Elephas maximus indicus: one gene and its partner. The protein of the gene in region 2 interacts with the protein of the main gene of each other region in a pairwise test. Links are inferred from orthologs where the notes say so. Each region holds a gene or a part of one and is shown on either strand. Other genes may lie near its edges.

Region 1 (7,937 bases), on a different chromosome or scaffold from region 2:
GTTGTTTCTAATTCTGAAACTGCATATGTGCAGGCACACGTGATGCAGAATGTAAGGGTTGCCATGGTAAGTACACGTCTTTTCTTGGACAGCCAAGTTAAAAAAAATACATAAAGAATGCTCATCTCATAATATGTCATGGAAATTGACTCTGCTTTCCCTGACATTTTAACATATTAGTATGATGTAATGCAGCAAAGGACAGAAATAGCCCACATTTAAAAACTTAAGCCCATTCAGATGACTTATAAAAGATGGAACAACAACAACAACAAAAAGACAGTAACAACAACAAAAAAATCTCCAAGCCAGGTAACTTTAATTACACATTGAGTCTGGATGCAAGTTCTACCTCCACTTAATTGTGAAATAACTAGACCTCATGACATTTCACAGGCCTAGCCAACTCTCCAGGAGTCCAAACACAGGCATCAGGACATGGCTAAACATCATTTTCAACATAGCTTTTAGTCTCAAGACTTCTATTTTTAAGGAAAAATAAAAATCGTTCTTACACCCCTAGTTTCTTATTCTCTCCCGAGTGAGATCAATGGTTTCCAACTGGTAGTGACTATGTTCTGCTCTGCTGTCTTTTGCAAAAACATCTCATGGTGGATCCTGTAGAGTCCGAGGAAGTCAGCTTAAGGACACCTGGATGGAGGCGTGACACTTGGACTGGGGAGGTGTCAGAATTCTGTCGCGAATCACAGCAGGTTCTGAGGCTCTGGAGAACCCACGTGTTCAGGGATTGCAGAACTTTTCTACCGCCTATCCCAAAGGAAACCCCTCATTTTAAGTAGGGGGGTGGCCGGGACTGGGCTTGGGTGGAGGCGGGAGAGATTGGTGGCTTTGAAAGAGAAATAGCAGATTTCAAGTCCTTTACAGGTGCTTTACCTTTACCTGTGCTTTTCTTCCCTCTATTCTCTCCTCCAGCCAACTTTATTATTTATTCCTCTTACAGGAGGAGGACTTGAGCAACCTGGAGGCTGAGGATCTCATAGGCTCAGCCTGGAACAAAGAAAATCGAGTTCCTAATACTGTATCTCTCGGGTTGGAGGGATCACGTGTCCTGCTTTCGCTGGAATGCACTCTTCTCGCCCACGCTATAAAATCTCTATTGTGCTTAGAAATTTTGCCCAGGTTAAAATATGCTCACAAACAAATTGCTTTTCATCCATCAAGAGAGCTACATCTCAGCGTACACAGGTACACATATTTACGTGCTGACCCAGTTACCACTGCAGGTAAATTGGTTGTGTTCAAAGGGTGCTGGGAAAGTAACGGAAAAGAGCAGGTGGAGGATCCCTGTATCTCACCGGTCCCTTCCCCCCCTTTCTGAATCCTTTTGAAGGAGAACTTTGAAATGAACGTGGGAGTCGCAGATGGTTCCTTTCTGAAACCCATTCCCTGGAGTTGTGAAAGTGACCCCTTCCCTTCTCCGCCTTGCGCTGCGCCCTCTCGCCAGCCTGCTCGCTTTGTGAATTGGTGGGGAGGAAAACAGCGAGGGAGGAGATAGGAGAGGGCGGAGGCGGGTCCTTTATTCGGCCCTGATGGCCAAGAAGTAGTGTAATGAAGCAATTTTGTAGACATTTCCGTTATTATGAAGTCACACTGTTTGAAAAGGCATTCTATACAGCTCCCACCCCCATCCTACTTCTTGACTCTACAAACATAAAGACTAGAAACCTCCGCTAGCCAATCTAATTGTCGATAAGCCAGGGTGCCATGATTACCGTAATGTTAAATGTGCCTCCCTCCTTCTTTCCACGTAGGACCGGAAAGACGTCCTGCATGCTTAACAACTCCGAGGTGAGGATGCACGATGCTGAAGGGGGCCCAGCGCTGCTACGGGGAATAGAGCAGGTTCACCAGCTTCGCGGTGCAACACAAAGGAGATGTGTAGGCATGAGTTCTCTGGAGAGGGGGAGGGAGGCATCGTTCTCCTGACTTCCAGAGAAAGCTTTCGCTCCACCGTTCCCCCACTTCTTTCCGTCCACCAGTCTTTCGGGCTCCACCGTCCCCCCTTTCCGAAACCCCACCCTTTCTCTTTGGTCCCCAATAACATAAAAATCTTCTAATTGTGTTTTTCAAACAAATAGACACGAAGGCAGTAATACAACATCTTCCAAGATAAAAAGACAAGTGCGACCAGCCACAAGTGTGTGTGTGTGTGTGTGTGTGTGTGTGTGTGTGTGTGTGTAGAGCGATCGAACAAGCGCTTGATCCCTGAGACACGGCCGGGGGTCGGGGGGGGGGGGGAAGCTACCTGGAGATATCCAAGATAATAAAGAGAAGCAAAGCCTAACCTCAGCTCGACAAACGGTCCAGCACCAGCGTTCAACACTCGTTCTTTACCTTTCGCTTTCTCAGCATGTAACCCTTTAAAGTCTCCTGGCAACCCAGGCCACTCGGTGCTCCCATGCACCCACCCGGCTAGCACCCATTCCAAATGCCCCGAAACCTACCACATCACCGCCACCGCTGCCGGCAACCGCACGAGCAGCTGAAGCGAGCGCGGGAGGCTTTCGCTCTCCCACCCCCGCCCCCGGCCGGCCGCTAGGGTCCCACACCTCACGCGCCCACGGTTGCCGCTGCTGGAGGTGGCAAGGCACCCGCAGCCCCCTCGGCCACCAAGCAAGAGTGTTCTACTCACATCGCAGGCGGGAGAAACTGCCCATGAGGTTCCCGCGAGCGTCACTGGTGCAGCTGTCAAGGGGTTATTCCTTAAAGTGTTCCGGGGTCCGCAGTGGAGAAGGTGCGAGGGTCCTCGGAGGAGGAAGAGAGCGGCGGAGGAGGAGCTGGAGGAAGAGGAGGAGAAAGGGGATTCCAGGCAGGAGCCACGTTAGACCATGATGACAGTGCCCTTCAGGTAGACGGCTGGAGAGCTTCCCGCGGGAAGCAGCCGAGGGGAAGCCCGATGCGCGGGTAGGGGAGGCAAGAGCGCGTCCACTCCCCAGCCTCCGCCAGCCCTGCGCGCCGCGCTGGCGACCGCAGCGGTAGCGGCGGCTGCGGCGGCCGCGGCGGCGGCGGTGGCGGAGGCGCAGCTCCCTCCCCACCCCCAGAAGGCTCCACAGACAATAAATCCTGGGCGGAGAAGAGACGAAATGGAAAAGGGAATCTTGCACCCAACTCCGTAACCCCCTTTGTCGGCTGCGGCACCTCTACCGGACAAGGATCCCCGGGGGCCGGGACGCAGCGGGCAGCTCAGAGGGTTCGTGCACTCTCGCCGCTGCAGGCGGCGGCGGTGGCCGGAGTGGGAGTCTGCAGGTACCGCCGGTCACAACCTGCTGTCCGGGGCTGGGTGCCCGTGGCTTTACGCCCGGAGTTCGCCCAGAGAGGGAGCCTCCTCGGTGCAGAGGCTAGGCGCACAGGTGCCGGGATTGGCAGGCGAGGAGGCGCCGCTTGTGGCTCTCCGCTGTGTCTCCCCGCCCCCTCTTCTTTCCCACCCCCTTTTCCGACGACACCAGCTGCAGCTGCTTCAAAGTGTAAAAAATGTCAAGGAGATTTTCCGACAACAAAAGGGGGGTCCACGGCCACAACCCTCAGGCCGTTTTTGCGATTTTGGCCTATCCCTCTGACCTCTACTCTTGCTCCCCTAAATTGTGACAAGAAAATCCCAATCCGGCCGAGAATTGAAATGCTCGCCTTCTCCTGGCTCCGACACAGGCTGTTTCTTGAGAGTGGAACGCCAGGCCGAGCTCTCTGGGCTCCTCGTGTCTCCCGCGGTGCGCGAGGCAGGTGGCACGAGGCACGGCGCCCGGCAGCGCTCGGCCGCCGGCTCCTCCAGCTCCCGGACGGGCCGGGGACGCTGGGACAGCGCAGAGTCCTGCAGCGCAGGCGACTCGCCGGCAGAAGCGGCTCCGGGCTTCTACGCCTCCCTGCGCGCCCCTCCACCGGCACCAGTTTGGTGACGCTGCGCTCGTGGCTCCTCAGGCTGCTGCTTCTGCTTTCTCAGCAAAGAGGCGGCCAGGAGCGCCTCCTCGGGGTTTCCTCCCCCGCCCGCCTTTCCTGCTGCAGGTTGTTGGCTACCAAGGAGAAAAGTCAGTGGTTGCAGGTCGGGTCGCTTCCCGTCAGACGTGGCAGCGACCCATATGCCTGCTCTAGGTCCCCTTCTCCTCATTCTGAGGCGGGGTTGCTACCCTGGCTTTGTGCAAGAAAAGAAGGGATTTCTCAACTTTCCTTCATCCACCGCCCCTCCTCCAGCCAGCAACACGCTCTGTCTCACACTCACACACACTCGTTTTTATCTCACATAAAGACACACAGAGACACTTCCTTCTCGTACACTTCTCTTTTAAACTCTCATAAGCAGCAGATTAAAAAAAAAAATACATTGATGAAGCTAGAATTATGAAATTAGTACAATATTTAGACGTTTCCTTTATTTTTTAAACACATCAGATGAATACTTATTTTTAAAATGTATTTATGATTTACGAATTATCCTGAAACCTTTTTTTTTTTTTTTTGGTGGGGGAATGGTATAGGCTATACGGTTTTTGTTTCTTCATTAAGGAAAGGAATTTTCCCTTTTAGTTCTCTAAATTGCCAAAAGAGTCAGACCGTGGCCTTCAATTGCCACTTCTCAGTGGATTTAAGGTAACGGTTTACTGAAACAAGAATTTTTTTTTAATTGCTATTGTTCTTAGATTTGAAATGCTAACAGCTTCAAGGTCAAAAATCATCTTTTCGGGCTGCTAGGGATGGTCTAGGCAAATCTGCTGCAAAAGACCTATTTAAAGACTTGGAAAACCAAGATGTCACTAAGGATGTCACTTTGAGGACTAAGGTGCGCCTGACCTAAGCCATCATATTTTCAATCACCTTCTATGCATACGAAAGCTGGACAATGAATAAAGAAGGCCAAAGAAGAAATGACCCATTTGAATTATGAATTTGGTGAAGAATATTGAATATACCATGGACTGTCAGAAGAACAAACAAATCTGTCTTGGAGGAAGCACAGCCAGAAAGCTCCTTGGAAGCAAGGATAGTGAAACTTCTCATGTCATCATGCTTGGTAAGGTGGAAGGTCAGCAAAAAACAAACAAAAAAGGCCCTCGCCAAGATGGACTGACACAGTGGCTGCAACAATGGGCTCAAACGTAGCAAATATTGTGAGGATGGTGTAGGACCAGACAGTGTTTGTTCTGTTGTACTTAGGGTTGCTGAATTGGAACTGACTTGATAGGACCTAACAACAACAGGGATGGTCTACGAAGAGACTTTGAGACTGGCACCTAATCTGCAGAGTACCAAGGAGGAAGGTTCTTTCTCACTTTATCTGGGCCATGAAGATGGGCTGTTTTTTCGAGATAACTCCCCAGTATTTCATACAATTTACATATAGACAGGGAAAGGAGTGAGAGGATGTTTTCATAAGTCACATCATTTTTAAAAAGTGTTATGAAACTCATCACAGAGAAAGGGTTCTGAAATGGCAGGGAGATTAGAAAAATTTTTTAAAAAATGTTAAAAGGACAAAATTTGTAATTGACCTCAGCTGACCTCTATTTTTCACTCTTAGGTTTTTTTTTTTTTAATTAATTGTGCGTTAGGTGAAACTTTACAGAGCAAATTAGCTTCTCATTAAACAGTTAATACACAAACTGTTATGTAAAATTGGTTGCTAGCCCCTTGATAATGTCAATACTCTCCCCTTCTCCACCCAGGGTTCCCTGTTTCCATTCCTCCAGTTTTCCTGCCCCTTCCTGCCTTCTCGTCTTTGCTTTTTGGCTGGTGTGTCCATTAGTCTCCTACACATGATTGTAATAGGAAACACATTCCTCATGTGTGTTATTGTTGGCCCTATAAACCTGTCTAATCTTTGGCTGAACAGTGAACCTCTAGAGTGACCAGTACTGAGTTAAAAGGGTGTCCAGGGACCTTACTCTCAGGTTCCTGCAGTCTCTATCAAACTAGCTAGCCTGGTCTTTGTGTGTGTGTGTGTGTGCGTGAATTGGAATGTTGTTTTACATTTTTTCCCGCTCTGGGACCCTCTGTAGTGATCTCTGCCAGAGCAGTAAGTGGTGGTAACTGGCCAGGCACCATCTGAGCTCAGTCTGGTGGAGTTGTCCATTAGTCCTTTGGACCAAACTTTCACTTGTGTCTTTGGTTTTCTTCATTCTCCTTTGCTCCAGCCAGGGTAGGAACAGTAGATGTATCTCAGAAGGCCACTCGCAAGCTTTGAAGATCCCAGAACCTACTCATCAAAGTAGGATGTAGAACATTTTCTTTATGGACTGTTATACCAATTGACCTAGATGTTCCCTAGGAACACGGTCCCCAGTCCTCAGGCCAGTAGCTCTGCCCCTCATAGCATTTAGATGTCTCTGTGAAAATTATAACTTTGCCCTGGTCAAATTGTGCTGGCTTCCCCAGTATTGTGTACTGTTTTATCCTTCATCAAAGTTACCACTTATCTACTATCTATTTAAGTGCTACGGCTGCGAACCAAAGGGTTGTCAGATCCACCAGGCGCTCCTTGGAAACCCTCTGGGGCAGTTCTACTCTGTCCTATAGGGTCGCTATGAGTCGGGATCGACTCAGCGGCACTGGCACTGGCTACTATCTAGTTAGTGTTTTTCCTTCCCCATTCTACCCTTCCCTTATAACCATCAAAGATTGTTTCTTTCTGTGTAGAAACATTTTCATATGTTTGTATAATAGTGGTCTTACAGTATTTTTCCTTTTGTGCTTGACTTATTTCACTCAGCATAACACCCTCATGTTTATCCATGTTGTGAGATGCTTCACAGATTCATCATTGTTCTTTATTGTTGCATAGTATTCCACGTGTGTATGTACCATAGTTTGTTCATCCATTCATCTGTTGATAGGCATTTAGGTTGTTTCCATCTTTTTGTTGTTGTGAATAATGTTGCAATGAACATGAATGTGCATATGTCTATTTTTGCGATGCCTCTTATTTCTCTAGAATGTACTCCTAGGAGTAAGATTGCTGGTTTGTTTGGTATTTCTATTTCTAGCTTTTAAGGGAGTGCCACATTGTTTTCCAAAAAGGTTGTACCATTTTGCATTCCCACCAGCAGTGCATAGGAGTTCCAATCTGCTCACTTTTCCAACATTTGTTATTTTTTGTATTTTTGATTCATGCCAGTAATGTCTGAGTGAGATGGTATCTCATTGTAGCTTTTAGCTGCATTTTTCTAATGCCTAGTGATCATAAGCATTTCCTCACGTGTCTGTTAGCCACCTGAGTATCTTCTTTGGTGAAGTGCCTTGTCATATCCTTTGCCCATTTTTATAGGTGTTGAATTTTCCTGTAGATTTTAGAGATTAGACCTTTGTCAGATATGTGATAACTAAAAATTTTTTCCCGGTCAGTGGATTCTGCTTTACTCTTTTGGAAGTCTTTCGATGAGTGTAATTGTTTTAATTTTTAGAAGATTCCAGTTATCTAGTGTCATGGATTGAATTATGTCCCCCCAAAAATGTGTGTATCAACTTGGTTATGCCATGATTCCCAGTATTGTGTGGTTGTCCTCCATTTTGTGATTGTAATTTTATGTTGACAGGATTGTAACACCACCCTAACTCAGGTCACTGCTCTGATCCAAGGTAAGGAAAGTTTCCCTGGGGTGCGGCCTGCATCACATTTTAGGTCTTAAGAGATAAAAGGAAAGGGAAGCAAGCAGAGAGTTGGGGACCTCATGCCACCAAGAAAGCAGCGCCAATAGCAGAGCTCGTCCTTTGGACCCAACGTCCCTGCGTGAAGAAGGAGCTCCTAGTCCGGGGGAACATTGATGAGAAGGCCAACAGAGGGAGAACTTTCCCCTGGAGCTGATGCCCTGAATTTGGACTTTTAGCCTACTTTACTGTGAAGAAATAAATTTCTCTTTGTTAAAACCATCTACTTGTATTTCTGATATAGCAGCACTAGATAGCTAAGACATTTGAATTAGTTTTTGTGTATG
Region 2 (7,757 bases):
GCCCAGCAGGACCACCGCCAAATCCAGGCTGAAGAGTACTTCATAATTGCAACACTTGACATCTACTTACCCTCATATAAACTGTTCCATAAGGACACAATAACACGTTAGATATGAGGAAAGGTAGTGTAAGGAATGAAGCTGTCCAGTGTGACGATGAAAACTGCCAGACAGGAACACAAGGCAGGCACAGCTACAAGCCTACAAGGAGGCATTTTGCTTTCATTCATGTTATTTATTTGATACCCTTTAGATTCTCATGGCGTCAGCTTGATATTTCAGTGTAGCATGCAGTAATGCAAATAATATATTTAGTGTATGGTATACAGCCGCAGTTTTCACTTACAGAAAGCACAAGTTGTGGAAGATTTCCTGAAACAGAAGGATGGCTTAAATCAAGGGGCAGCTATATAGCTGGTACCTCCCTAGAAGAATCTGGCTTTGAAATAGGAGGAAACTACAATCAGAGTGGCTCATGAGAACTGTCACAAGTGGGGCAGGTACCCTACAGTAATCAAAACCACAACGAACATACCACAGTGTCTTATGTTCTCATGCCTCCATTCTGGATTAGGTAGAAAAAGAAAAGACTCAAAGCTGAAGAAGGACTTCTAGGGCAGAGGTGATTGGGGCGGGGGGGCGGTCCATTCTGAGTAATTACTAAATCTGTATCCTTAATAAGGATATAATCTTTAACAAAGGATACTATGCCAAATATGTTCTACTATTACTTAAAGTCACTAATAAGAAATATGGAATCAGTATAACACCCAGAAGGAATTCCCCTCAGGCCTTCCACACCCCTGGGTGTATGGCAGAAAAGGGGCTACCTTAAGCTTGCAGTCTAGGCATTCTTCACACAGTCTGAGGAAAAAAAGGACTTTAGAACTTTAGGCTCAAGCCTAGGCTTATGGTTAAAGTAGGAGACGGTCAAAGTGGGGCAATAGACATGATCCTTCTAAGCTCCCCAAACATTTATTCCAGAAGAATTGACATGCTGCCTGAAATGTGTTTGGGTGATACAGTTTTAAGTATCTGAAAGAACTAGTGGTATTCAATTTATATGGTTCTTAACTTTTGGATCATGAATCCCTCTGAGAGAGAAAAGTTATGGACTCTTAGAAAGTTATGACTACCCTTTCACAATAAACATTCACACTTATACATTATAAATAATCTCAGGGGGTTGGTCATTGTCTGCCAGGAGCCCAAGTTAAAAACCTCTGCTTTATGGCTTCCAATTTTAAGGCAATAATGGTAATCACTTAAAGATGAACAAACATGTTGATGTGAATGAATGGAAAAAGTGGATGGAGGACTCGAGAATTTGAATAAGCCTAGAAGGGATTAGTGGTATTAGTTGGAGAGAGTGGAAGGCAGGGGTATTCAACAGGGTCAGAAGCCTGGTGACCCACTGGATTACATGAGTGATACCCATGGTGCACTGAATACTAGAGGCTAGTAGACTATACTGCAACAAAATCTGCTTCAGCCTGCTTCCTCAAGCTGCCCTGTGTGCTTAGGCTAGTTGTGATTCCACACCTGCTTATGCCAGAAGCTTTTCCTGTATTTCTATAATGTAATTAAATACCACATAAACCTGTGAAAAAAATTACTGCATTAAAAACCGTTCCTGTGAAAACTAAGTCAAATGCTGACTTAGACATGACACAACGGGGAATACATTTTTATAATTGTTGAATTGGGAGTGAGCAAGACAATTGTAAAAGATTGGGAAGGGGGAATCTTAAAACCAAAACTGGAATCACAGATGATATATTATGGGTATAGTACATAGAGGCTTTCATCTGTAAGACTGCAAATTAGAATTACCTGGGAAACTGAAGGAAAAAAAAAAAAAGCCAGGCCCCGTTTTCCCTTTTTGTGTTAGTTTGGACTGGGGTCCTGGCATTGGTAGATTTTAAAAGTTCTCAGGGTTTCAGAATCACTCTTGTAGTTTATACTAGAAAGACAACTGGGAACACCAATCAGCCGACTTAGACTTACACAAAGAAACCATCTTGGCACTATACCAAAATATTGGTGAAATGAATGTACTTTTAATTATGTTTAAGATATATAGGCGTCGTTTTTTTAAATTCCCAACTCTGTTTTGATTACTGCCATCTACCAATCCTCATCATATAACATAAAAGGGCTTCCAGTGTATGGCGAGAAGTAGGTTCACAGGATAAAAGATCTGATTTGGGCCCACATTACCAAGTAGGTCTCATCTTGAGTCTTCTTTCAGTTTAGAAGTCTCAGATGAGGACGCAACACCAGGAACCTCTGAGGACTCGAGTTCTCACTTTCCTGGCTGGTTTTCTGAGTATGGCTGGTTAGGGTGAGAAGGGGCAGTTTCTTGTTAACCCTTCATTCCCAAAGGTCACTGCTCCCCAGAAGGCCAGGTACGTGTGTTGAGGTCGCCAGGAAGTAGCCATGGGGGGGGGGGTAGGCCTGGGAAGGAAACGTTTCTCCTGTCCTCCATTTCACAAGCAGTCTAGGAGGCTCTGAACTGGGTCAGAGAACAAAAAGTTGCTACACTTGGGGCGATGAGCCCCGAAGAGCAGGCGAATCTCAATCTTCCCCTCTTCAAGGGCGTACCAACCCAGCCTCCCCCTCCTTACACACCCACTCACCCTACCCCAGATACAACAGGGAGCCGCAAAGTCCACAAGAGAAAGGAGGGAGCGCCGGCGGCTTCGAACCTAGAATTCTCCTCCTTCCAGCGCGGGGATGGGGCTCCGGAGGTCGGGGATCGTAGAGGGTCTGGGAGGGGAAGTCGAAGGAGCTGGGGATCACTCACCGCAGTCCGGCCCCGGCGGCGGCTCCCAGCCTCGCACCATGGGCCGGGGGGAAAGGGGAAGAGGGGGCAGGGGGCCTCCGGAATGAGAGTAAGGTTGCTGCCCCGCGCGGCCTCCTCCGAGCCCACCCGTGCGGAGGGCCCGGACCGGGACTGACCCCCCCCCGCCCCCGAGAGCGCGCCCGTCTAGCCCAGCCCTGCTCGAGCGAGTTGGAGGCGGGGCGGATGGGTGGGGCGCGCGCCTAGGGGCGGTGCCAGGGTGGCCCGAGTTCTGATTGGTGGACGCAGGCCGGCGGTCACCGGCGGAACGTACTGGGTCGGCTATTGGCTGTACGGGCCTTGACTGAAGTCAGCTATTGGCTCCGTGAGCCACCGGCGGCGTGGGCTATTGGGTACGTGGGCAGGGAAGCTGCCCCGCGGGGCCACCCTCATCCTATCGGTGCCGAACCGTGGAAGTACACCGGCCAATGTCCCTCCCGGAATTCCCTGGGGAGGGGCTCGAGCACTTTGCCGAAGTGTCCAGGTCGCCAACAGCTACCCCCGGCTGTTTCCTCCTGAGAAAAGCACTCTAGGAAGCCCCTTTTATCATCCATTCCCTAACCCTAGAGTCCCTGGGTTGTGCAACCGGTTAGCGCACTGAGCAGCTAACCGGAAGGTCGAAGATTTACATTTACCCAGAGTCGCCTGGGAATAAAGACCTGGGAATCTACTTCTTGATAAAAAGCTCTTGAAAACCCTGAGGAGCACAGTTCTCTGACACACATGGGGTTGCCTTGAGTCAGAGCAGACTCCAGGGCTGATAGTCTGGTCCCTAGCCCTATGTATGTGCAGTGACTTCCCCAGCCGAGGCCCAGTCGTCACCAGCAGTCAGCTCCAGCAAAGCAACCTAAAGCAAAAAGGAACTTGTTCTGGAGATGAATCTGATGTTTCGCCGCTCAGAAAGTTGAGGATCCTATGATCCCGGTGTCTCCTGCTGCTTCCCCCAGACAAGTTGGTACCAGACAGGTTCCCCGAGACAAAGTGCCTGAGGGGTTACCAGTTGGGACCTATCAGACCCTCCGACCCACTTCCCTGCCTCTGTAAAAACCGGGACCTCTGCCTCATATTTGGAGACCTTGGTTTTCATTGTCAAGAAAGGGCTGACAACGAAATGGATTTTCCCCCAGGCAGTATGCCACACGCTAGGAAGTTCTGGACCAAAAGTTTGTATATTTAGAATTGTTTATCTTCTGACTAAAATTTGGGAACAATGTATTTCCGATGTGCCTCTGTTCTTATGCTGGTCTTTGAAATAGTCTCTTCTTGCTTATTTAGGTCACTTAATAGCTTATGTAGCTACAATAGTTTAGAAAACAATTCCACGCTTTACGCTGTATTCTGCAGGCCTCACCAGCCACCCCCACCCCCACCCAAGAAAAAAAACAACCACGTAACTCCTACTTCTCATTCTTCATTGGTCCACTTTTAAGGCTGGAGCTCTTTGAGGGTTGCCTGACATCATAAACATGTCTCTCTTTCAGTGCTGACCCTATTTTCTGTTACTGGCCTTGTATTTGCCTCACCTCTCCCTCTCCCTCCTTACGCTTAATAACAATATCCAGTCTTACATACAAGTTGGATGTCCTTCCAAGTATTATCTGGCAAAACATCTTAGGGGTAAACAACAGAAGCATGTATACTCAGCTTTAGGGTTAGAAACTTTTGATCCCTCAAGGTAAGAGCCAGGTGTATACAGACCTTCTAAATCATGGCTATTACAGTCCTCCAATGGTTTTTATTTAATGAAGGAAGGGAAAAATGAAACATTTGAGGCAGCAGCAGCCCTCAGTTTCCAGTGGAGAGGTCATTCTGTTCTCATCCAAACAATTAGTAAAACTGGATTGACTGGGAAGAAGTCATGCTTGTTTGGCTGGAAAGCTGACAGGAACTGGCTGTGGGAATGAAGCGCCTGACCCTGGAGGGTTAAGTGAGTCACTCTGGGCATCACTGACTATGGGCTTGGAATTATGAAAGGTGAATAACTCAGCTCCCTTTTTTGTCTGAGAGTTAGGAGTGGGGGCAGGAACAGAATGGAAGACAGATTTAGTAGAGAGAATGCAAGGAAGGGAGAACAAACTCCCTTGCCCCAATTCTGGAGTGCAAATTGAAGCCTCCCTCTTCTACATGTGTTTCACCCTGAAGTTTTAGAAGATGGAGTGATTTAGGGTAGGAGAATAGAGAAGAGGAAGAGGTCCAAGCTGACATTATCAGAGAAGGGAAGGTCCCATCATTAGCAAGACAATTACCCTCCCAGCTCTTCCAGGGACTGCTGTAGTGCTAAGAATAGGGACTCATCTTGTTATCCTCAATATTAGAGATGTTAATCCTCCATCTTTGGTGAAAACTCTCTCCCCCTGTGGGGTAAAGAGTGTAACTTTACTCAAAGTAATTTGGTCTTTGCCCTTGTTTCTTGAGAGATATCGCTAAACTCTTGGAGTTTCCTGACTAACTGAGGTGCCTTTATTATCTGGGGAGCTTTGGTGGCATAGTGGTTAAGAGATCGGCTGGTAACCAAAAGATCCGCAGTCTGAATCCACCAGCTGCTCCCTGGAAACCCTATGGGGCAGTTCTACTCTGTTCTATAGGGTTGCTATGAGTCAGAATCCACTTGATGGGTTTGGGTTTTTTAGTTTTATTATCTGGGGCCTTGGTGGCACAGTGTTTAAAAGCTTGGTAGCTAACCTAAAGGTCGGCAGTTCAAACCCACCAGCCGCTCCTTGGAAACCCTGTGGGACAGTCTATGAGTCAGAACTGACACCATGGCAATGGGTTTGGTTTTTGGTTTATTGTGCAAATGAGTGGGGGACTGGCCAGGCCACGAAGGCCACCAGGTGGCCTTGTAGCAGGTGACCTCTCAGACAGGGAAGGGGTCATGATTCAATCAATAATGCGTATACAATGAGGCTCCAATAAAGAATATGGACATGGAAGTTCCATGGGCTTCCTGGTTAGTGAAAGACATCAGTGCATGGGGGACTGTAGCACACCCTTTGGGACATGGAAGCTCTGTTTTGGGAGCCCTCCTAGACTTTGCCTTTTGTGTCTTTTCATTTGTGTCCATTTTTTCTATAATAAAGCTATAATCATAACAGTTTCCATGAGTTCTGTGAATCATTCCAGCGAATTATCAAACCTAAGGGAGTAGTGGGGGTCAGCAAGTCAGAAGTGAAGCGGGGAGGGTTATGGGAACAATTAAGCTTATGGCTGGTGTCCTGGAGGGATAGTAGCAAAACCCCGAACTTGTAGCCAGGAGACTAGAAGTGAGAGCCTGGGTGAGACCCCCAAGCTTGCAGCTGGCATCCTCAAATGGTAGTGGAAAAACTCTGAATTTGTAGCCTACAAAGGGCAAAGTCTGGGAGGGTTCCCAAGACAGAGTTTCCATGTCCCAAAGGGCATGCTTACATTCCATATAGAACTACGGGTGTCTTGTGGAATCCCAAACTTGCTGCTGGCATCTGGTCTTAGGCCCACCTGGCAGTCTGGAGGTCTGTGGGCTTTAACTTTTGAGATCTGACCTAACTCAGGGTGCTTAAGGTCAGAGGAAGAAGTGCTGCATGGGGAGGGTGTCAGAATTGAACAGAGAAGTGAAAAGTGGGGATGTGTTATATCCTCAAAGTTGCTGTCAGGAAAAAGTGGCTATTTGGTATTATATAGTTGATTATTTATCCACTCACCTCCCTTTCTTGGCTCAGATATTAGCAAGACTGACCAGAGGCACATTTCCCTGTAGCTTAAGAAGCTGGAGTTTCAGGGCCCTCCCTTGCACAGACCTCTTTCCAAGGCACTGGAGGGGACCCAGCAATATGCTCACATGGTAATAGGTTTTTGTAAAATTTGGAAAAAAAAATTTTTTTTAGCTGCAATTGGTTAAGATAGGTGTCTCTTTCCTTTCTGGCTTTCCTTCCATCACACTTCCTCTTTTGTCAGGTGGCAGTGGAGAGGGGCCACAGGCATTTTAGGATTGGCTAAGGAATTTGAATTGAGGATATATTTAGTTTGGGTTTAGTAGGTATATTTATGTGGTTTGCAATTACTTCTGTGAGTAAATTGTCTTTGTGTAGGTATAGCTCCCAGGAATACTCTTAATGTCGTCAATTCAAAGAGTATAATACCATACAGTGAAACCTGTGAGAGCCGGAACCTGAAGGACTGCTTTGTATCTCCAGGTCTTGCAAGTTTTCTGCCTTTGACAGTGCATTCTTACTATTTTTCTATTACTCTCTATTTCGTGGAAAATATTTGAGTTTTCCTTCTCTGACAGGTTTCCACCTTACACAGGTTCCAGCTATCACAGGTTTTATTGTATAACATTAGAAAAAAAAAACCTGTTGCTGTGGAGTCAATTCCAACTCATTGTGACCCTATAGGACAGAGTAGAACTGCCCCATAGGGTTTCCTAGGAGTGGCTTGGTGGATTTGAACTGCTGATCTTTTTGGTTAGCAGCTGTAGCAGTTAACCACTACACCACTAGGGTCCCTGTATAACATTAGTCATTGCAAAGAAAATTTGAAATGCTATGACCACATATATGGAAGAAACTTGTCAGAGGTTTTCCAAAATGTGACAAAAGTTCTAAAAATATATAACTTCACCACTAACAAGATGTGAAGGTGAAATTTTTCTAACTTAGCAATTAAAAAAAAAAAAAGTAATGATCAGCCATGCAAGAGGAAAGACTGAATTACCTTCCTATACTTTCTATAGAAAACATTATATATTATCATCATGAGAAAAGCCTATTGAAAAGCATGCAGTTAAAAAAAAAAAAGTATTATGGTTTTGCCAGGCAGGTTATTTTAAAAATGTGTTATTTTTCTTGATATTGCGATATTGTCAACTTCTTAAAAATTATAATTTGGTGTTATCTTTTCTCATTCTAAAAAAGAAAAAATCCACTTTTGTGCTTGATTTTGT

The links.
Region 1: the proteins of HOMEZ (region 2) and LRRC7 interact in a two-hybrid assay, tested with the Homo sapiens proteins (2 studies listed by BioGRID). The two-hybrid records come from large-scale screens. The link is inferred for Elephas maximus indicus from reciprocal best matches to the Homo sapiens genes HOMEZ and LRRC7.

The regions. Positions count from the first base shown.
Region 1 is NC_064821.1:115,849,530-115,857,466, reverse strand, and holds the start of LRRC7 (leucine-rich repeat-containing protein 7), read right to left. Parts: upstream 3,013-7,937; 5' UTR 2,656-3,012; coding exon 2,654-2,655; intron 1-2,653.
Region 2 is NC_064828.1:34,618,166-34,625,922, forward strand, and holds the start of HOMEZ (homeobox and leucine zipper protein Homez), read right to left. Parts: upstream 3,019-7,757; 5' UTR 2,847-3,018; coding exon 2,807-2,846; exon of another isoform or gene 2,709-2,806; intron 1-2,708. UniProt on the Homo sapiens protein: May function as a transcriptional regulator.